Mytilus edulis: one gene and its partners. The protein of the gene in region 3 binds, or shares a complex with, the protein of the main gene of each other region. Links are inferred from orthologs where the notes say so. Each region holds a gene or a part of one and is shown on either strand. Other genes may lie near its edges.

Region 1 (7,578 bases), about 21 Mb from region 3:
AAATCAGTTGTATATTAAGAAGATTCTTTTGTGTAAAACTTTAATGATGGTTAGCACTCAAAATAAGCTTTGGGCAGGAATAAGCACATAGCTGTTTGGCCTTATGAACTGTTCCTAGACATAAGAGGGTGGTTAAGGGTTATTTTCGTGCAACATGTTTTGCCATTTTTATTTCATGTGCAGCCGTGAAAAAAGTTCTTTATTCACTGTGTTTCGTGAAATTGGTAAAAAGATCAATGTGCAAGAAATTTTAAATTGTTCTTTCTTCCGTGCAAATACCCCCCCTTTACATCCCTCATATAAGTACAGTATTAACTTGGCAAATTAAGCGATAAACTGCAGGATAGCTTTGATAATTGGTGTACATAATGGTGATAAAAGTCCATCTACTTAAACAATTGCAAAGTACCAAATCAATATTTACCTTATATTTACATTTGTTTAAGATGAATTAATTTCATTTCATCACCTGAACTGATAAATTACATCTTTTTAAAAATAGAATTGAAATTGAACATGTTGAGAAAGAAGCTAGAATTTGGCTTAACACCTGCATGGTTTATATGCAGTAAGACATGTAAGAGACATACCCATTTTCATATGCATTTTGAATTTCATATAGATTCTGGTCATTTATAGCCTTCTGGAATACCATAAGGAAATTCTTGATGACATCTGGTACTATATACGAGGACGTCTGTTGGGCATACTGTCTTTCATATTCCAAATCTTGGCGTGGATCACCTTTATAAAAAATATAACATTGTTCTGTCAAATCATTTACCTTAATTAGAAAAAAATTTGGTAAAAAAAATTGCACTAACATAGAGGAATAGTGTACCTCACAGTAAATCATAGAACACTTTCAAGCTCATCCAACATTACTTACTGCTAGGACAAATGTTCATCAATGTTAGTGCAATAAATATATAAAATTCTTTATTTTGACTGATCTTCAAGACATGAGTACAATTTTATTTACCATAGTGATATCAGTCACCAAAGTTTAAGAATCTTTTAAATATAGTTTAATTATTAAATGATCACACATGGGGGACACTTAATGTAGAAATCCTATTTAACATGTTTAACATAGTAACATACCTGTGTGTGCATCATAATCAGTGGCACCTGGTTGAGGATATGCTGGATAATACTGAAATAAAAAGAAATTTTTTGAGTAATCACTCCAATAAATAATCAGTTTTAAATTAAATTATGCATTGTATAGACATGAATGTTTTGTTTAATATCAGTTGGTTAAAGAGCTCTTAAAAGAGCTTATCTTATGTTCCTTGTTATTATGTATATATGCAACCCAACATTAAATAAAGATTACTTTACTTTACAAGACAGCAAGATTCATGTGGACCCTTTGGCTAAAATGGCTGCCTTTTCACCTTAAAATTTATTTTGGGTGCCGACATATCTGAGTATCTGGATTTTTTTGAAGGCCTAATATACTCTAGATAAATAAAATTCAGATGTACATTTGTGTTTCATTTTTTAGAAAATTAAAAACAGTTAAGTTAACTGGATTTTGCACTGCACTCTTTTCATTTCTCCAGAAGGTGCCACTGTCATGACTGTTAACAAAGTTCAGAAAGAGGTTTAAGAACTTCCCTCACAAGTAATAATTGAAGTGAACTGTATTGATTGCCATGGGCAATAGAGGGGGGAAAGATACAGTACTTGACAATAATTGGCGATATAAACTGTGAACCTGAGTGGACCATACCAAATGAAACTCAGGTGTTTATTATTAATTTTATCATCTTCTGCAGGGACGAAAAAAAGTGCATTGCAAAAAATAGTTATCTTTAAAATTTTCTAAAGCATAAAATCCATTTTAATCAAACTTACAATGCCTTAAAACTTTTCTTAGTCATTTAGTCTGTACTTGAGAGTAAATGTAATTTCAACTACATGTATTTGAAGGAACTGAATTAGATTTTAATTTCTTCTAGTTGTCTGCCCATAGACCGTTATTTGTATTGCTGCGCTTCATGGGATATAGCCATTCAGTACGACAGGGCCGACTCGATTAGACGTGTTTCCCAGTTATTTTTTTTTATCTTGCTTAGGTGAATTTATTTGATGTTATATTTAATGTTTTAATTTCAGTAGTATTTATAAATTACTGACTATATTTTGTCGACATGATATTATGTATCATAATGTGAAATTAAAATCAGCACATGGCACTATCGTGTGGGTATTCAATTTGAACTTCAGTTTGGTTTTTATTAGTCTTATGTGTATAGAGGTAGTCTATGGACGTTTGTAATTGTAGAAGAAATTTTGATTTTAAAACACAGCCATTTCAGCAAAATGGTCCAGATGAACCTTATTAGTGCACTTTTTCAGTGATAGGATGATAGAATTTACTGTTAGCCCAACTTGGAAAGCTAGCTATGAATGATTATGACATCAGATATTGGTGTGTTAGGCAGCATTTTGAAGGTAATTAATGTAGATTTACGATATACATATATCAAGTTTAAGGGGGATGGACAACCACAGAAGCAAAATAAAATGAAAGTTCTTGATCAAGTTTCATTTCTCAAAAATGATTTGGGTACCTTGTGTTATATAAAGTACATGTACAAATGTATATAAATGTACTGTAGGTAATTTTTTTTCGGAGACAAGTGTCTGTAATCCTTTGTGAGGATATACAATGTCAATTTCTCATGTTTGGGATGAATAAAAATAATAAAATACTCTAAAAACCAATAAATGGAAATCACTAGTTTAAGCTGGAACAAATAATGGATTATCTTCTGGTCAACAGATCGAGTCTATTTATAGATTTATAGAGAAGCCGGGCTGTCAACTGGTCTGGCAATGAGTTCAACAATATGATGGATTATCATGTATTGATCGAATCAGGAATGCCATTGAAAAACATATAACATATACAAACGACTTGTGTAGATTCTATATACAAAAGTTCATATTAAAAACATTCATATTTACTTCAGGAGGAGCAAAAGATGCTGGTGGTTCGTCACTCCACATGTTGGAAAAAATCTCCGATAGAGTTGTCTGCCCTAGAAGAACGAAAAGAAAAAGAAAACAAAGTCGGACATCGGAGTAGGGGGACAACTCGTATCTTTTCCAACTCGTACTTTTAATACTATTAGTCGAACATAATGTTAGGTTAAATTCCTACACACAAACTTCTAGTAATGTATAAGAAAATATAATACTCAGTTTAAAATCAAATATTTAAAGTTACAGTAGTGGAGAAAATTTTCATTCCATGAAATCTGGGACTAATACATATCTGAGGGGGGATAGGAGGGGTCTTGATCCCGAAATCCCGGACTTGAAAAAACGAAATCCCGAGGTCCCGAATTTAAATAAAGCAAATCCCGACATCCCGAAATCCGAAAAAAAGGATTCCCGGATCCCGAAAGGGTCAATCCCGAAATCCCGAGCTTAAAAACACCCGATCCCGGAGTCCCGATAAAGGTCCTATCCCCCCTATATCTTATTTATACGGACAATGATTTGTCAAGGATTTGTGTAGTAAGAAGTAAGTAAGTAAGTAAAACTTTATTTGGATTCGGCATATTGACAAACAATACAAACATAAGCTCTAATGAGCTTTTCACCGAATATAAAAAACATATGCAATAACAAATAAAACAAGGCATGCAGCATGCAATAAATAATAAAAAGCAGCACAAAAAATTAACTCTAAGCAAATAGCATATACAAATGTACATGTATGTTGCAAAATACCAAAACATATATATGAAGCACTATTTTTTTTTTAAATTTGCAGTTTAAAAATTATTTAAAAAAAAAATTATGATTTATAAAGTAAAAATTTCAAATCTTTCAAATTTTAAAATGTAAAAAACAACATTTCAGTTGCAATGCAAGCTGTTAATGCAGCATAGAAAGCATAAATATTGTAACACAAATTATCTACAGGCAGAGCAAAAACATTCTGTTCCACTCCAGGACTGAACAAGACTCTTAAAATGTGAGAAGTTGTTAACAGTCCTGAAATGTTCTGGTAAGCTATTCCATAAAGAAGCAGCAGCAAAACTGAAAGATTTTTTTTCCATATGAGGTAGTTCTTACCTGTGGTATTTCCAAATATCATTGTATCTAAAAGAATATTTAGTGTGTTTAATTTGGAGTAAATTTTGTAAACATACAGGAGCCAAATTATTTAAAATTTTATAAGTCTCACGTGCCATTGTCCTGATGCGTCTTACTTGTAGGGTTGGAACCTTTGCGTTCTCAAGAAGAGTTTCAGAGGATGATAATTAGTCGTCATATACAAATCTTAATGCTCTCTTTTATATTTTTTCAACTTTTTTAGAATTTTTCTCTGTACAAAAATGCCAAGCCAAAGGGCAAAAATTAAAATTACTCAAAATAAAAGTATGAAAAAATGTAAGTTTATTTAATCTGTTTAAAAATGATCCAATTCTCTTGAGAACATTCAGCTGTTGTGATGCCTTTCTACACAAGTTACTATATGTGCATCAAATTTTAGTTGGTAATCAATATCAATTCCAAGTAACTTTACTGTTTCTTCACATGATAAAAAAGATTTTGCTGAATTTGTATAGATGGATTTTTTGCAAAGGTTCTTTTCCCTACAGCAATAACTTGAAATTTATCAGGATTTGCCTGCATCTTATTTTCTTTAAACCAATCAATAAGCACTTGAGTTCAGATTCTAATATGGATATGAGATGGTCATAATCCGGACTACTAAAAGACAGAGTATTGTCGTCCGCATAATTATATAATGTACTATGTTTAACAAAAAAGTATATATCATTTTTGAAGATATTAAATAAAAGGGGCCCAATATAGAACCTTAGGGTACACCTTTTTGGATGTCAGCCCAGCTACTCAGAACACCGTTTACTTTAATTTGCTGTTTTCTAAAAGAAAGATATGATTTTGATAAAGATACTGAATGTGGAGAAACACTATATGCTAGTAATTTATCTAGTAAAATGTCATGAGGTAAGCAGTCAAAAGCTTTTGATAAATCCATAAGAACTGCAGCTTTATATAAGTTTTTGTCTAAGGCTTTACGCCAGTCTTCCAGTAATCTGAGCAACGTAGTCTGACATCCATGTCCTCTACGGAAAGCACATAGATAAGGATTAAAAATGGAATCAAAGAAATCGTATAACTGTATTTCAAATATCTTTTCGTAAAATTTTGAAAAAATAGGTAACACACTGACTGGTCTGTAATTTGATTTCAGTAGTGGGTCGCTCTTTTTATGTAAGGGTGTAACTTGGGTTTCTTTAAGTTTGTCTGAAAATATGCCCGTGTCCACAGTCAAATTTATAAGACTGGTCAGCTGAGGTGCAACGACAGATTTACTTGCTTTAACTATTTTTGCTGATATCTCATCTGCTCCAGTTGCTTTTTTGACATTAACTTTATTTATGATTTTTTCCACTTTTTCTGATGTCACCTTTTGAAATTTAAAATTTGCATCTGTTTTCAAGTGATTTTGTTCATGTATGGCATTTATGCTATGATTGTTTAATGGATCATATATAACATCATTTTCTATCTTCTCAGCAACAGTGGCAACAAATTTATTAAAAATATCTGATAGTATTACATCTTTTGAATTATTTATAATTTTGTTTTCTTCAAATAAAATAGTCTTTTGCCCTTGGGATTGGCATTTTTTTGAAAAGAAAGGTTTGACAGTTTTCCCAAAAATCAGCACTTTTTGATCCCCCAGAACAGCGTTCTAAAAAATATATTTTCATAGATTTCTTTTTTAACTTCTTTACCATATTTCTTACTATACAAATCCTTGATACGGACTAAAATGGTTTCAACATCTAATCATCATTACAAGAAATGTGATTTTTTTTTGCTGCATGGAATTATTTAGCTGTTTTATATATTACATGCTACCAAGGAATTGTATATTTAAATATACAATTCCTTGGTGCTACGTTGCCTTATTTCATATCTTGTGTATAAGTTTTTATTTCCGTAAAGTGTTCATCAAAGATTATGTGTGGTTTTTTTGCTTTGCCGAATCAAATCAAAGCTTTTTATGTCCATGTTTATGCTGCCTATCAAGGCAATTTATCTATATCCATATATATATATGGATATATGTAGCAGAGTTATTTTTATGTTTATAATTTGATATATTGTAATAATCATTTATTTTTATATATACTTACATGAATGCATTCATATTTTGAATATTGAATCTATGAGTTTAAATTTTTACTTGTAAACCTTTATTTCGGGTGTTCACTCTATTGTTCTATGAATATCCACTATACATTTACTTGAATCGTTGTATCTGATTGGTTGTTATTATTTCGCGGTCCGCAAGTTAAGTCTCTTTTGTATTGGAGCTAGTAGATTTCCGCGGGACGATAGCCATGTCAGTCGCTTATAGTTGTGTATCTAACACCTAACAAAGATGTTGTTATACAGAGATACATGGACCTTGAATAAAGGCAACAGTAGTATACCGCTGTTCAAAATCCATAAATCGATTGAGAAAAAAACAAATCCGGGTTGCAAACTAAAACTGAGGGAATCACATCAAATATAAGAGAACTACGACACAACAGAAACACATCACTAAAATTAACACACACAGAAACGAACTATAGTATAAAAATGGCCATTTTCCTGAGCTGGTACAGGACATTTTAAGAAAAAATGGTGGGTTGAACCTGGTTTTGCGGGTAGCCAAACCTCGCGCTTTTATGGCAATGCTAAATATAACATTACAATGACAGCATTATATGACAGGACTACAGTACAAATAAATGCAAGAACATTCAGGACAAAGAAATACACAAATAAACATTGCAATAAGACATTTCGACATGCTAATAGTTATCAAAGAACTACCATATCATCCAGTTTGGATTTCTATAGTCAACTGATAGAGCGGCAATACCATCTGACTTAAATATAGCTGCATCGTGAATATTGTTTCAGTAAAGAAACAACAGCAGCATTCCAATACACACCAAAAATGTAACTACAAAAACAGTGACAGCATGGATCTAAATATTGAAAACTAGATCTTGCACTGCGACAGATGTGTTCGCCGGTAGCAGGCTACAAGTCACAGAGCGCTTCTAATCAACATCGAGACGACATAACCCCTTGAGTTAGTGTGTATTGAATACCTTGCAATTAAACTGTATATATAAATATATAATATTTAATGAGACCACTTCAAGGTGCAAACTTTGGTTCTAAAATTACCAAGGAAATATGCAACATCACTAGTATGACGAAGTCACGAACAACACCGTCTCATCAAATGGACATCACTGAAAGTTACCAAAATAAATACTCGTAAAGCTTGGTAGTGTACAGAAAACATTCAGAAGAAAGATTGGAAGTCACATGATGAAGGTTTTGTCCATGCTAACAACTGTACACGTCATCCGTCAACTGGATTTTCACCACACTTTTTGATGTTCGGAAGACAGCGACGTATACTTATAATTAGTAGATAACATATATACTACTTGGAAAGTTGGCATGTTAGGTACCTTAGAAAATGTTCAGACGAAAGGTTGGAAGTCA
Region 2 (7,164 bases), on a different chromosome or scaffold from region 3:
TTGCAAAAGTTATAAGAATAAACCTGTTATTGTGCTATGCTTACCATGTATTGCATTTCAAACTATCAGAAGAAAGGAAATAGGTATCTTACAGAGATTTTATAACTAAACACAGGTTAGTAACAATATTAAAATTTAAAGTATGGGCTAACAGGTAGTAGGTACCTATCAGAAAGTTCTGAAATGTGTGACAAGTTCTAATTATTGATCAAGCAACTTGGAAGACACTGTTTAGAGTATCAACCAGACTGTAATTTACTGTTACAATTTGGCCAAACAATATATAAATGGCCATTAAATAAAGAGAAATAAGTTAAAATTACAGCTTCTTCTGCAGCAAGTTTGGCAGCTTGTTTTTCTGCTATTCTGTCAGCTAATTTCTTTTTCTTTCTCTGAAAAGGCTTCCCTTCTGAAAGAAATGATGTATTATATCAGAAAAATTCTAATTTCCTAGCTTTTTACAGGGGTTTCACATTTCTGTGCTTATTGTAGATTCAATCTAGTTCACTATCTCTAGATAAGGTTTTTGATGGAAAACAATGTGATGGTTGTGGTTCATGCACATATAAGACTTGTTCTATTTTGTAACAAGAACTGGATCATGTGTTGATTTGTCTATTTTTTTCTTCAGTCAGGCATTGGTGGTTTGTACTATCCCATATTTTTCTGTTAGGCCACACCAATTTAATTTCTTGTTCTACAGATTTTTGAACTCCAAAAATTGGGGCGAGCGAGCAATTTGAAAATTTTAATAAAAAAATATTTAATTTGCAAATTTTTGAGGCGAAGCTTAAAAAGTAAAGGCGAGCGATTATAATTTTTTTTTGTAAACATAAAATAGTAGGTTTTGACTATATTAAAACTTGATTTATCACTTGTACCTTGACATATCTTTAATTTATGAAGTATTTTTTCCCTGTTCAACAAGAAATAATTGAATAATTAAATCTGGTCTATGTATGTGTGACTGACAATGAGACAATTCTCCATCCAAGTCATAATCAGGTTCAGAACAACCCCTTAATGTTATGAATATCCCTTTTATGAGGGGTCAATATAAGTTATAATATATTTATTTTGTAAAAACACTTTGAGTACAAAAGGGGTAATATTTTCCCAAAGAACTATAATATCTATATGGTATTAAATGGTCAAAACATGTCCAAAAATTTAACAGTTTTATATTATTTAAAATAAGTGGACCTCTCTTTTAAAAGTCGTTTAAAATATAATGTATTTCTCCTCTTTTTGAGTAAAAAAATTCTAAAGTTTCAAAGGTTTTGTATAGTAGCACTATACAGTTTTGTATAGATGCACTATAAAAATCTTTAGTATTTCTGTTTTCTTTTCTACAACAGTAAACATGGTTAAATGACCCCTTCAAGGTCCTTGTCTGAGGGATTACCTGATAATAACAAACATAGGTCAAAGTACGGCCTTTTACACAGAGATTTGATCCAGACCAAACAGCAAGGTATAAGGGACCACAACTTAGTATTGTACACAATTCGAACAGGAAAACCAACGATCTAATTTATATTTCCAAACGGGAAAATACCAATGAACCACACCAACAAACGATAACTGCTGAACGACAGGTCCCTGAATCAATCAGGACCAGTGCACAAACCTGCAGCAGGTATGACCGTCAGCATACATTATAATTGCAGTTGAAGGCAAATCCTTCAGAAGTTCTTTGTACTTTATTTTAACTACGAACATTTTTTGATAGGGAATATAAGTCTGGGGGAAAGAAACCAATGTTTTGTTCTGTACAGGTGTTTCCACTGTTATATATTTATATCGGAGCACTCCCGCTTGAAACAAATATTCTCACAGATATTTAGTGTCGTGAGGTGCTTATAGGTTTAAAATCGTTATATAAAGGTTATACTATGATTTTAAAAACAAATGTTGAGATCTTTTTATAATATTTACAAAAAAAAAACGGTATGGGAAATGGACATGATTACATTTCCGGATGCAGGAAGCAAGAATATAATAAAAATAATAAAAATCTGTTTTGAAAAAAATAGGAGCGGGCGGGTCCGTCGAACAAGATTAAATTGGTGTGGCCTTATCCTTTAATTTAATAATTTTAAGTTCATTTTCTCATAGGCATGCATTATCCCGTTTTTTTAAATGACCATAGTGCAGTTCAAATTGGCTACAGTGTGTATTTTTATTAATAGGACAAATCAACATACCCTGATCTTTTTCTTCTGTCTTCTTTTCTTCATCATCGTCATCCTCCCAATTATCCTGTAAACAAAAGTTTTAATTTGTATTGAGCGCATTATAACTTATACAATTACCAGATAAGAACATTTTAATTGTCATTTTTTTTCTGACCAACACCCAAAAGGAAACCATTTGTCATTCTAAATATTTCATATGTCACATTTGAAATTTAATTAGGAACAGCTGGTTAATCATATATCAGAATCCCTTAAGAAAATATCCCAGGATTATTACAGTGTGATCACTTCAAAGGTAGGTGGTTTTTCTTTTCGCGATTTATGAATGGAATGTGAAAAACTATATCTCAAGTGAACACGATTGATAGTTAAGATTATTTTAACCGATAACCGCTACGAATTTCAGCTGACAGCGAGTATAGGCAAAATGAAACAGCTGTCACGTGTAAAGGATTGATCCAGGAAGGATCCAGTAATGATGAGCAATAGATTTAATATGTTAAATTAAGATTCCAAATCACGACTACGTTTAATTGTCTTCTAAACAAAGAATGAAGAAAACCATGTAATTTGGTAAAAAAAATCGTATAAACCTTGACATCATCTTCATCCTCCCCTTCCCACTGATCCGTTGTCTTCACAGGTACTTCTGGCTCAAAATCATCGGCATCTACAAAATATGAAATAAATAAATCATAAAATTCATTTAAAATTGTAATTAAGAACTTAGTAAGTCATAAATATGTTCTCCACATGTTTACCCCATGCGTCAGACATCTTGAAGTTCTAGAAACTAAAAATAGAAATTATTTGCGCGGGAATGCAATTTCTTTGGAGGTAATAAAATAATTCTTATGAGTTACAATATTATTTGATATTTTTCGTATAATCTTAAAATTATTTCAATACATTATTTTGAAAAATATTTATTTAATTATTTTAAACTGGTTTCACGAAAATAGAATTCTGAAAGGATAAATTACTTCACGCTGACAGGAAACCAGAATATCCAAGGTGCGTGACTGCTTTGTTTACAAATGGATGACAAACTGAAGAAGTGACTAAGTCGCTTAATATTTATTCCTGTTTAAAAACATATACAGAATCAATAAGAGTATGACATATTTTCATTTCACTTTTACGATAAAGTTTATATAATTGCTACCCTTGTCAGTATATTTGGTTAATGAATCTACAGAAAAACAATAACAAAAAAATGGTCCAGGTTCATTAAATTTTAATGGATGGACTCAAGACGTTTCGGCCATAGATCCGGTTCCTCCTTAGTCGTTTTGGCCATACTTTAAATTTATAGTAAGGGACTAGTTACTTGTAACCCTGACTATAGTATATCTAACAGGGAATTAATCTTATACACTTTAAAGTAAATATTGAGGCATTACACTACAAGCAAACTTAAAATGGTCAAAACATACAGACAACATTATAGCTAATGGTAACAAATCTTAAAAAGAAATTTAAAAACATCATGCCAGAACATCAAAACCCAGGTATATCTGGCACTGGTTCGTTCTAAGCTTGAATATTCATGTTCAGTATGGGACCCTCACACAGTAGTTAAACAAACCTCTAAAATTGAGATGGTCCAAAGACGAGCTGCCAGATATGTCTGTAACAGGTACCATAACATCAGTAGTACTACAGACATGATAAACTCACTAAACTGGCCCACACTACAGGAAAGAAGATTATGCACAAGATTGATAATGTTCTACAAAATAGTACACCAAATCGTAGCAATCCATTCTGCTATCCTCATACCATCAGAAACCCGCACCGTTTCACTTTCAGACACATTTCTACCAAAAAAGATACATATAAATTTTCATTTTTTCTGTACACCATTACTCAGTGGAATTTAATACCAGTCCACAGTTTTATATAATCTGATATTTTAAATTTGTTTTCAGGTTGTATTAGTTTACAGAAATTCACATACATTTAATCTGATATATGTCAAATCTGTTTTCAGGTTGTATTAGTTTAGAGTAATTCACATACATTTAATCTGATATGTCAAATTTGTTTTCAGGTTGTATTATTTTACAGTAATTAATAGAAGTATAGTATGAGTAAACAACCAGTCCCAAAAACAACTGGTACTAAGCCAAAACAGGTAATGCATATGAAGTTAAACTCAGTACTTCACAGCAAGTCTTTATCTGATATTTAATGACTTCCAATTACTAGTTTAATAATATTTGTTGGCCCTGATGTTTTTAAATGGAATTTAATGGATCAATTGAACTTGGAAGCAGATTGTTTTGATGCAGTAGATCGAGCATCTGGGACAAATCAAAGGAATTATTAATTTATTAATTTGAATAAATAATCCTTAAATTCTTAAATTATGGAAAGCAATACTTAAAATTGTTTAACTGATGTTAAGGAGCATTATTATTTGAGAAAAAAAAACCATAAGCACAAACTTGAAATTATAATACTTTGAAACTATTCATACCAGACACTAGACAGTGTTAAAATGTATATTAATATTATCTCCCTTTTTAAGACATGATGTCCTTATATTACAGACAATAGGTGCAGGTAGAGCTTCTCCAGCAGGAAGGGGAGCTCCTTCAGGTAGAGGTTCTCCTGCAGGAAGGGGAGCTCCTTCAGGAAGAGGAAAAGCAGTATTACCACGAGGCATGCAACCTATTGCCATGAAAAAACAAGATGGAATGTTAGTTCCTGAAGGTAAAATTTGTTTGTTTAAATCATTTTACATTGTATCTTGTAAATAAACAATATCTGGTAAGAAATACAAATTTAGATGATATAAACATTGCTTTTTAGTATCTGTTGATTGCTTAGTAGTATTTGGACTCCATGTTTATATGAGAAATGACAAAGAAAATATAACTATCATAATAATACTCCAACTTTGATGTCAGAGAGTATTAAATAGCTTTGAAACTTCTGTGTATTTTGTAGGTATATTTGTGTAATCAGTTATAAGTGAAAAGGAATGATATAAGCTGGAAACTTGTTTCCGGGTCCTCGTTTTGGTCTTAGTGACGATTCAACTTTTATAATATTTTCATGCCAACTAATGTATATGTATTTAAATTGAATAAATCTAAAATCAAATATGCTTACACTTATCATTTGTTAAGATTTGAGCTAGCTTTCTTATCAACGTTATCCATACCAAAGTTTCTGTTTTGATACTTTGTTAGTCTATTAAACCAACCCAAAAATTTCAAGAAATAGATGCCACTAGTAACAAAGAATTATTAAAAAAAACATTATTGAGGCTTTTATGAATATAGCTGTGACTATGAAATTATCTCCCCTAATTGACTTAATTAATTCTGGGGAAAACTTGCTTATGACAAACCATATTTACATCAAATTCACATTTATTATTAAATACCAATCACTCTTGATTGTTTCTAGGATATACCATGAGAAAAATAGAACCAGCCAAGAACTATGATGTTGTATCATTTGCCAGAGCCATGAATCAAGATTTTGCTCCGAGACTAAAGAAGTTATTTGATCCAGAAGTTGAAGCTGCCTTAACTGCTCAGAAAACAGGTAAAATCAGAATTATCTCCCTTATTTTATTTTATGGATTATTTCTTGGTTTTTTTGGTCATTGTGGTGAATCTGATTTAGAATTATAGTTCTTTTAAGTAATGTCACTTAAATAGGTAATTTCATTCAAGCAGGCAGGTAGTGGCTTGATCTGCAAAAACTTTATAAAAAAATAAAAAATAAAAAAAAATAAAAAAAATTTGTTTTATTCATTTAATCCTTAAAATTTTGAATTTGATTTAATTCAGGAATCTATATTGGATGGAGATGTCCAGAGTTTAAACATGATTGTCAAAGGGTAAATGATTATTCCAAATGTTTCTGTGGTCATCTGTTAAATGGACATGCAAATTACACAGGTATGATGTATAATATGTATTTACAATTAGAGTTGAAATAGAAAACTCAAGTTACCAGAAGGATCAAATTCATGTTATTTTTTAATTTTGCATTATATAACACTTGAGCTAAAGTATTATCTATGTACAAAATATCTACAACTGTATCATTATTCGTGAATAATTTCTTATATTTGTTAATTTGAAGAATATACAAATGAAATTTTCCTGGAGCATGGCAAATAATCAAATATTGAAATTTATTTAATTAAGAAAACCTGAAAATGAAAGAATGGGTTTTTTTTTCTTACATCACATTGTAACATACAAAGTTATAATCTTTAAATTCAAGGCCATATTTTGCCGAAAGTGAACTTGATCTTTTTGCACTTCATTGTTACTGTTCATATTTACATTAGCATAAAACATTATTACAGTGACCTGTGTTTGTACCATCAGCGACCTACGTGTATACCATACCTTCTTACTCTTTATTTTACTTCTAATGTTTTAGGAAAGAGTGTACAGGTACCATGTCGACAAGGGGGGTGTAAGTGTAAAGGTTTTGCTTGGATTCCTTCACGTCCTGAGGATGTAGGCGAATTCTGGCATCAACGTAGAAGAGATTTTGATCCTAGTACATGGAGAGCTAAATGTCGTTGTAAACACACACATGAAGAACATGAACCAACAGGGATGAGAAGATGTAGATCTAGAGGTTTGTTCCAATACTGACTGAGGATTTAACATTCTAAAAGTAATTTAGGTTTTCTTATGTACCTTAATAAAGATAAGAACAACTCTGCATGTGTTGAGAAGATGGGTAAATCTTTCATGATTCAAACTTCTGTTTCACTAGTTATCTAGTGGAGAGTTGTCTCATTCGCAATCATACCACATCTTCCATTTTTTATATATAAATCTTTCATGGTACATCCATACATCTGAACTTCTATTTTTTTGTATTGTGGCAATTATCGAACCATACAATTGTTATACTGGTAAGTCTGTTTTCTAGTGTAGTATGATATCCTCTTAACAACTATACTGTGCAGTATGAGTATAGT
Region 3 (7,384 bases):
AAACTGTTTCTGCCATTTCCTCAACAGACGCTGACGATCCCTGTAAAAGTATCATTATTGTCATCATTCAGTTTTACTTGCATATTTAAACATTCAGTGTTTGACGAGAAAAGAATATTAAAAATCCTCAAACATTTATCCTACATTAAACAAGGCGGCTAGCAAAGTATCTTTTACTAGAAATGCTTACTTTGCCCCTATTCAAATGCATTGGTATAGAAAGACAAGATGAAGATTTCATGACACTTTAAATTGTGAATGGTATTTACTCCTTTGTTTTTCCAGTAAGGTGTGCTGTTTACTCTCTGTTAAATATGTAAGTCTTTAGAACTTGCTGCAAAATTATTTTTTTGGTTTTAGTCAGTTTGCGAAAAATTCCTTTATACATATATCAATCAATATAATCCCCCAATCGAGGTAATTTTATCCAAAGAAAAATCTAATTTTATTAGAAAAAAAGCATTCAAGACAAATAACCCTCAAGTTTAAGTAATATCTGTACCTTTCTCTACTTTTCTGTGTTTTAGACAACACCTGCATACTAGCTTGAGCTTGTTGTTGCCTTCTTTCTCTTTCCTTTCTTTGTTTATTCTGCAAAAAAAATGTATTTATAATTTCAAACGTTGTGCAACAAATTTTAGGTCCTTTCACTGTATTTAAACAAACTGAGGCAATGGATTATTGTAAAATATTTGTTCGTTTACTTGGGTGAATATAATCAATACTAGATGGTTTGTTACTTGAAATAGCAGATATGTGGTTAAATTTGATAAGAATTCTTATTTGTAGGACTTCAAAAATAAAGTCTGAAGATTGAATATTATCATGATGATGTTACAACAATGAGACAGTCCACTTATCGGTAATATTGTTGTCTCATAATGATTCCATCATTTTTTATTTGCAGACAAATATCAAATAGCAATATTAAGCTATTGATGTCTTAAAAACACACAAACTTTTGACAACATGTGCTCTTCATGACAATGTGAGAAAAGGATTATAAAAACAACCTGCAAAATTGTCACATGACTGTTTTATACTGAGGGTTTTTGTTTCAGCAATATTCTTTTAACCACATAAGTAAAGCTTAGTTTTGTACTCAGCAAAACAATTATACTTCATAATTTGTTTTAGAACCCTGTTTCAATATGTTTTCATACCTGTTGATAAACTCTTCTTCCTCTTTGGTACACTGGTTTCTGAACCTTAGCTGTATCAACAAGTTGGAAACTGTTCTCATCCTCTTCATGGTAGTAAGCATACTGGCTTCCTAATCCTCCAAATGAAGAACTGTATTTCCCTGTGCAATACAAATATTTAGAGCTGTTGTTTATACATATTAACATAAATCTGCAGTGTCTAAAAGACTTTTAATACACACATCATTACTTACGTATAGATAAAATATTAGTGAAGATGTTGTTTTTCTACCTCCATATCAACACAAATAAAACGGGGAGAAGATGGAGATCCATTGTAGACTTTACATACAAAAGGAATGTTTGACATAGACAGTGTCTAATTCTTCTAGGAAACTGATACTCAAGTAAATGCATCAATTGATTTTTCCAAAATGATGTTATATATATATAAAGCAAAGAGAGAAAAAACCTATTTTTTTTAACAATCTATATCTAAAGAAATGTGTTTCTTTAATAAATTAAAGCTTTTATTTTGATACTCTAAATTAAAAAAATCAACAAATGCTTACTTCGACTTATTGCATGATCATGTTAACCATAATACTTAGTACTTTTTTTTATTATTTGATTATTGAACTGCTACTTATATATTGTATTTAATTTTGTATGCCATAACCATTTAATGTAAATGTGTTTGTGCTAATAAAATATTGTCTATTGTCTACTATATTCTGATTGAAATTTAGCTGAACACCTGCACTCCAAATAAAAATAGGTGCAAATCTGATAAATACATGTACTATTATATAAAACATAACCGTTCTACTTAGATAAACCAATACCTAAATATCTTTTGTCTTGATAGGTTGCTCCAGTCCAATCAGAAACCTAAAAATAAAGCACCATGAGAGATTATATAATTCATGTATAATATGGTTATTATTCAAACTGCAGCTCTAGACATAAATGATATTAGTGACATTACAGAAATTTTGTTCAAATTTCCTAAATCAAAGACTGGAATTTTAAATGTGACCTCATCAGGCATGCTTCTGTCCAACTTTCGTAAAACTTCATGAAGGTTTGACAAAATTATTGATATTAAAATAACCACATATTGAACCTAAATGTTGACGCCGCTGAAAAAATCTAGGTTCGCTATTTCTTTTTTTCGCGTTATAAATGTCGCAGGCTCGGCTAAAATTCAAAGCACATATCGGATCTCAGCTGATTATGAATTTCTTTAAACAAATGGAAAGTAAGAAGAATTACCAGGAGATTCAGAATTTGACCGAAAGAAAATAAACAAATATATAATACGGCACTATTTGATCGGAAATAGATTTCGTCACTTTTATAAGCAATTACAAGCTATTGAAGATTGATTTACAACACTGATGTGTTTTAAACCAGATCTTTTTAATGGAGATATTTTTTTTTTATAAAATTCAAGTGTACGCCCGGGCGTTTTGACGTAAATGTAGCTACGCCCCTGGAAGCCCCTAGATTGGCACCAAAGGCAAAGACCAAGTCAGCAAGTGCCAACTTGTTAAGCACCATCGATCTTAATTGATTATTTTACACATTATGTCTAAACCATTCACCAGATGGAACAAAACTGATCTGCTGTTTGATACTCCAGGAACTTTCCTGGATCATTCTGACAATCCTTCCCTCCCCCTTTTTTAAAGTTACAATATGTTGACAACTTATTCATTACAGTACTCTACCTTTCCGAGCCGATCTCCCTTTGAAAAGGGCTGATATGGCATGTCCTTAAATTGTTCAGGAATAGCACAAGGACCCCATCCAACGGGGTTATCTTGAATTTGTGGGGGATTAAAATATGCCATATTTCTACCGGCAAAACGTGATCGTCTTTCAGCCTCGTTTTCAGACTAAACTAATAACCGAAAAGATTCGGTGAAAACGAACAACAAAGACAAGCCAAACATCTCTGTCAGCCACAAAACTGAAGAGGCCAAAACTATATCTGCCGACTACTCGCCAAGAACAATAACAAACGAGGACCCTACCAAACTCCACGGAATACCTCTAATATACAGCCATCCAAACAAGAAAGCTGCTACAGGAGCATGTCAACAGAAATCTGATAACACCCGAAAGATATGGAATGGAACAAAAAAGGCACATGTACAACACCCTGGTCCAAGTGCACCATTACCACCAAGACAACACTACTATGTCAGAAGACTAGAGTCACAAATCCCTCCAACGCACCACCCTGTTAATCAACAACCGTTATACAACATGGCAACAGGTGCAGCTTGTGGAAACAACCCTTTTTTAGTGCAGAGCAATCCCCAACGAAACAACATCAACCAATTTTAGACACTAAGGACAAATCCATCAGCATAGCCTCATACAACTGTAAAAATATCAAAACATGTGGACACTCCATTAGCGAAATTCTACAGGAAAATGACATCATCTTAATTCAGGAACATTGGCTTTTTCATTCTCAAATACATATGATCTCTGATATTAACTGTAACGTAAACTTTGCAGCCAAGGGGGTGGATATGAACGAACCAATTCTTCCAGTATCCATGCCCAGAGGATACGGTGGCGTGGGAATCATTTGGAACACAAACATAAATCATCTCATTAGACCTCTTGACGACGGATCGGAAAAAATACAGTGTATTGAACTTGAGAACTCGGTTAGGCGAATACTGGTTGTTAGCGTGTATCTACCATCAAACGGGAGCAAAAACCATCAAATAGAATATCAAGAGTGCATAGATGAACTGCACGAGATATGCCAAAAATACATCAGTACTCACCACATTATTATAGGTGGAGACATTAACGAAGACCTTAATGCTGGAAAACCAACGAACAAGAGAAAGGAGTACCTGAAGAAATTTATAAATGAAATTGAATTGAAATTTGATAACATTGGAAATACATTTATCAACTCGAAGGGGTGTGAATGCTCTGAAATTGACTATTTCCTACACAACATAACACCAGACATACTAGGGAAGGGAAAGTCAATCCTCAAATGCCAAACCAACGCCTCAGACCATTATCCAATCAGTATGAGTATAAACTGGAAGCATGAGAAACTTGATATGAACCAAAAAAAACGTCCGAAATCCAAAATTAAATGGGATAAGGTAGACAAGGATCTGTATAAAGCAATAACAGACAAAGAGGCACTGAAGCTGCAAGAATCAATTATTACAGATTCATTAGAGTCACAAGAAGTAGTTGAGCGGATGAATGATATACTCACAACAGCATCACAAAATTCATCAGGAAATAAAACAGTTTATCAATCAAGACCAAAGCTCAAAGTATGGAATAGTGACATAAAGAACGCCTTAAAGGAAAAACGGATCACGTACAACGAATGGCAAAAAGGTGGGAGACCAAACGATCCAGCAAATCCCCTAACACTCAAGAAAAAACAAGGAAAAAAGGAATTTAGGAAAACAGTACGCATAGCAGTAGCAAGGCAACTGGAGGCAGAAAAAGAGAGCATCATGGAAGCAAGATCGAATAACATGGAGGTCTTCCACAAACTAGTTCAAAAGAACCGCAGGAAGGGAATTGAACACATACAGGATATAAACGTTAATGGCGCCACATACTCGGGAGACAAAGTCATAGAAGGATTTAAGGAACACTTCTGTACTCTTTCTACACTTAAAGAAGAGGCCTTCAGCAACCCGGAGTACCACTCCCAAGTGGAAATGGAAATAAGCAATATCTGCAAACTGGTAGACCAAGAAACGATACGCCCTGTCATAGAAAATGATGTCCGTAAAGCTATTTCTACAATAAATAGAAACAAATCCGCAGACTACCATAATATAACCATCGAACATTTCATATATGCTGGAGATAATATCTTATCCGCCCTTACTCAACTCATCAATATCATATTCCTAGAAGGAGATATACCAACAATTCTGAAAATAGGACTGCTTTCTCCTGTATTTAAGAACAAAGGCAGCAAAAACGATGCATTAAACTACCGAGGAATAACTATTTTACCCGTAGAGAGCAAGATAATTGAGGCCATCATTAGAGATCGGGTACAACCAAAAGTGCAGAAGGTGCAAAACCCAACTCAAAGAGGATTCACCAAAGGATCCTCCCCGATGAATGCAGCACTACCTGTGGAGGAAATGTACCGAATTCTCCCGGAAAAAAAGCAAAACGGTTACCTAGTCTTGCTCGACGCAAAAGCTGCCTTTGACACTGTGGTGCACTCACATCTATTCCGCAGGGTATATCATGCTGGGATTCAAGACAGGACATGGACAATCATTAGGAGTCTTCATCAAAACGCAGAAAGTAGCATAAAATGGTCCGGAAAAACATCAGAGCGTTTCACAGTAGGCATGGGTGTCAGGCAAGGAGGCATACTGAGTACAGACCTGTACAAGTTATACATCAACCCTCTGTTAGACCACTTCCAAAACACAACCTACGGCATGACTATAGGGAATGTCAACACAAACAACACCGGATGCGCAGATGATATCGCAATATTGAGTATGCAGCCAGCTGATGCTCAAATTATGGTCAACATGGCCCTTGATTTTGCCAATTCAGAAGGATACCAGCTGCAGCCAAAGAAAAGTGTAGTAATTAAAATAAGCGGAAACAGCAATAACACCAAAATGGAAGAAGACAACCTGATGATGGGTAACACACCTATGCCTAATGTTGAGCAGGCTACACACCTTGGGATCATCAGAACTACAACTCGGAAGAACAATATACAAAGTAACACCAACGAAAATATAACAAAGGCAAGAAGGAGTGCATACAGCCTACTTGGAGCCGGGTTCCATGGACACAATGGTTTGGACCCTGAATCGCTACTGCATATCTACAAGACGTATATACTCCCTGTCCTACTATACGGAATGGAACTTCTAACCCCATCCGGTAAGCCTCTTGAACAACTTGAGATCTTCCAAAAAAGGATGCTTAAACAGATATTATCGCTGCCAACAAGATGCCCTGATCCAGCAGTCTACATACTCACAGGAATTCTTCCGGTTGAAGCCCAAATTCACATTAAGACGCTAACTTTCTTTAACAATATCTGCCATCAATCAGAAGAGAGTACCGAGAAAAAGCTTGCCAGAAGACAACTGACAGTCTGCAGTGAGGAAAGTAATAGTTGGTTCATACACGTCAACAAGTTGCTACGTCTATACGATCTCAGCGAAGCAAACACCTACTTGGCCAACCCAACAAAGAAAACTCAGTGGATCACATTGATAAAGAACGCTGTGATGAAATACTGGAGCATCAAAACTGTACAAATATCCGAACTATACTTGGGCCTAAAGTACCTGAGCAGTCAAAACCTCATCAAGGGAAAACTTCACCCAATCCTCCAACACAAGAGTCAATCCGCTCTAGACAATAGCAGAATCCCTACCAGATTACGCCTTATTACTGGAACTTATGTACTTCAAACAAAACGGATTCAATTCTACAGACAAGAAACAGACCCGACCTGCCTGCTTTGTGGGTTACAGGAGGAAACACTAGAACATTTTGTAATGCAATGCGAGAAGTTACAGTCCGTTAGAGCGGTGATACTTAAAGAGGTGAATGACATATGGCAAAATGAGATGAATAATACCATAAGGTTCCATGACCTGGACATTACAACGCAAATGCAATTGCTCCTCGACAGTGCAAAACTCATCAACCTAAATAGACATAACTCAGCCAGCGTAGCCCGTATGGAAAACCATTCCAGAAACCTTTTCTTCAAGTTGCACATAAAGAGAAATGTACTGTTGGACGAAAAGACTTAGAGGCACATCGTAGAAGATAAGCTAGCATGGAGAGGGGGAGGGGTAGGGATACCATTGACTCTGGGTCCTAAAGCACCGGATTGCCCACAGATTCATAGTGGACATACTTTTAGATTTTACCGTACATATACTTTTATCACAATGCAGTAATTTCGTATGAACACTGAACTTTTAGATTTTTAAGAGCAAACATTTTTTAAACATGGAGCTTTAAATACGTATTTTAACCAGGCAAAGTCGCTCTCTATATATATATTCCGTATGTGAGGACATTCTAGATTTTAGATTATAAGCGATTAATAAGAAGCCGTTTTTATATATTAACACAAAACCCCGTGTGGATAGACTTGTTTTAACATTGATAAAAATCGCCATGAACTTTTATTATAACATACATGAATTTTAAAATGTCGGGAGGTGTCG

What was found.
Region 1: eukaryotic translation initiation factor 3 subunit D-like (region 3) and eukaryotic translation initiation factor 3 subunit L-like share a complex: the UniProt entries of both Drosophila melanogaster proteins name them as parts of the eukaryotic translation initiation factor 3 (eIF-3) complex. The link is inferred for Mytilus edulis from reciprocal best matches to the Drosophila melanogaster genes eIF3d1 and eIF3l.
Region 2: eukaryotic translation initiation factor 3 subunit D-like (region 3) and eukaryotic translation initiation factor 3 subunit J-A-like share a complex: the UniProt entries of both Drosophila melanogaster proteins name them as parts of the eukaryotic translation initiation factor 3 (eIF-3) complex. The link is inferred for Mytilus edulis from reciprocal best matches to the Drosophila melanogaster genes eIF3d1 and eIF3j.

The regions. Positions count from the first base shown.
Region 1 is NC_092352.1:17,627,030-17,634,607, forward strand, and holds the start of eukaryotic translation initiation factor 3 subunit L-like, read right to left. Parts: upstream 3,083-7,578; 5' UTR 3,022-3,082; coding exon 2,980-3,021; intron 1,157-2,979; coding exon 1,105-1,156; intron 745-1,104; coding exon 591-744; intron 1-590. UniProt on the Drosophila melanogaster protein: Component of the eukaryotic translation initiation factor 3 (eIF-3) complex, which is involved in protein synthesis of a specialized repertoire of mRNAs and, together with other initiation factors, stimulates binding of mRNA and methionyl-tRNAi to the 40S ribosome.
Region 2 is NC_092347.1:85,261,998-85,269,161, reverse strand, and holds the start of eukaryotic translation initiation factor 3 subunit J-A-like, read right to left. Parts: upstream 3,035-7,164; 5' UTR 2,976-3,034; coding exon 2,960-2,975; intron 2,869-2,959; coding exon 2,792-2,868; intron 2,263-2,791; coding exon 2,208-2,262; intron 410-2,207; coding exon 324-409; intron 1-323. Other genes in the region: protein FAM221B-like, read left to right, coding at 4,288-4,335, 4,754-4,916, 5,619-5,759, 6,008-6,118, 6,612-6,815. UniProt on the Drosophila melanogaster protein: Component of the eukaryotic translation initiation factor 3 (eIF-3) complex, which is involved in protein synthesis of a specialized repertoire of mRNAs and, together with other initiation factors, stimulates binding of mRNA and methionyl-tRNAi to the 40S ribosome.
Region 3 is NC_092352.1:39,012,299-39,019,682, reverse strand, and holds the start of eukaryotic translation initiation factor 3 subunit D-like, read right to left. Parts: upstream 3,072-7,384; 5' UTR 2,999-3,071; coding exon 2,876-2,998; intron 2,034-2,875; coding exon 1,988-2,033; intron 1,304-1,987; coding exon 1,164-1,303; intron 592-1,163; coding exon 503-591; intron 41-502; coding exon 1-40. UniProt on the Drosophila melanogaster protein: mRNA cap-binding component of the eukaryotic translation initiation factor 3 (eIF-3) complex, which is involved in protein synthesis of a specialized repertoire of mRNAs and, together with other initiation factors, stimulates binding of mRNA and methionyl-tRNAi to the 40S ribosome.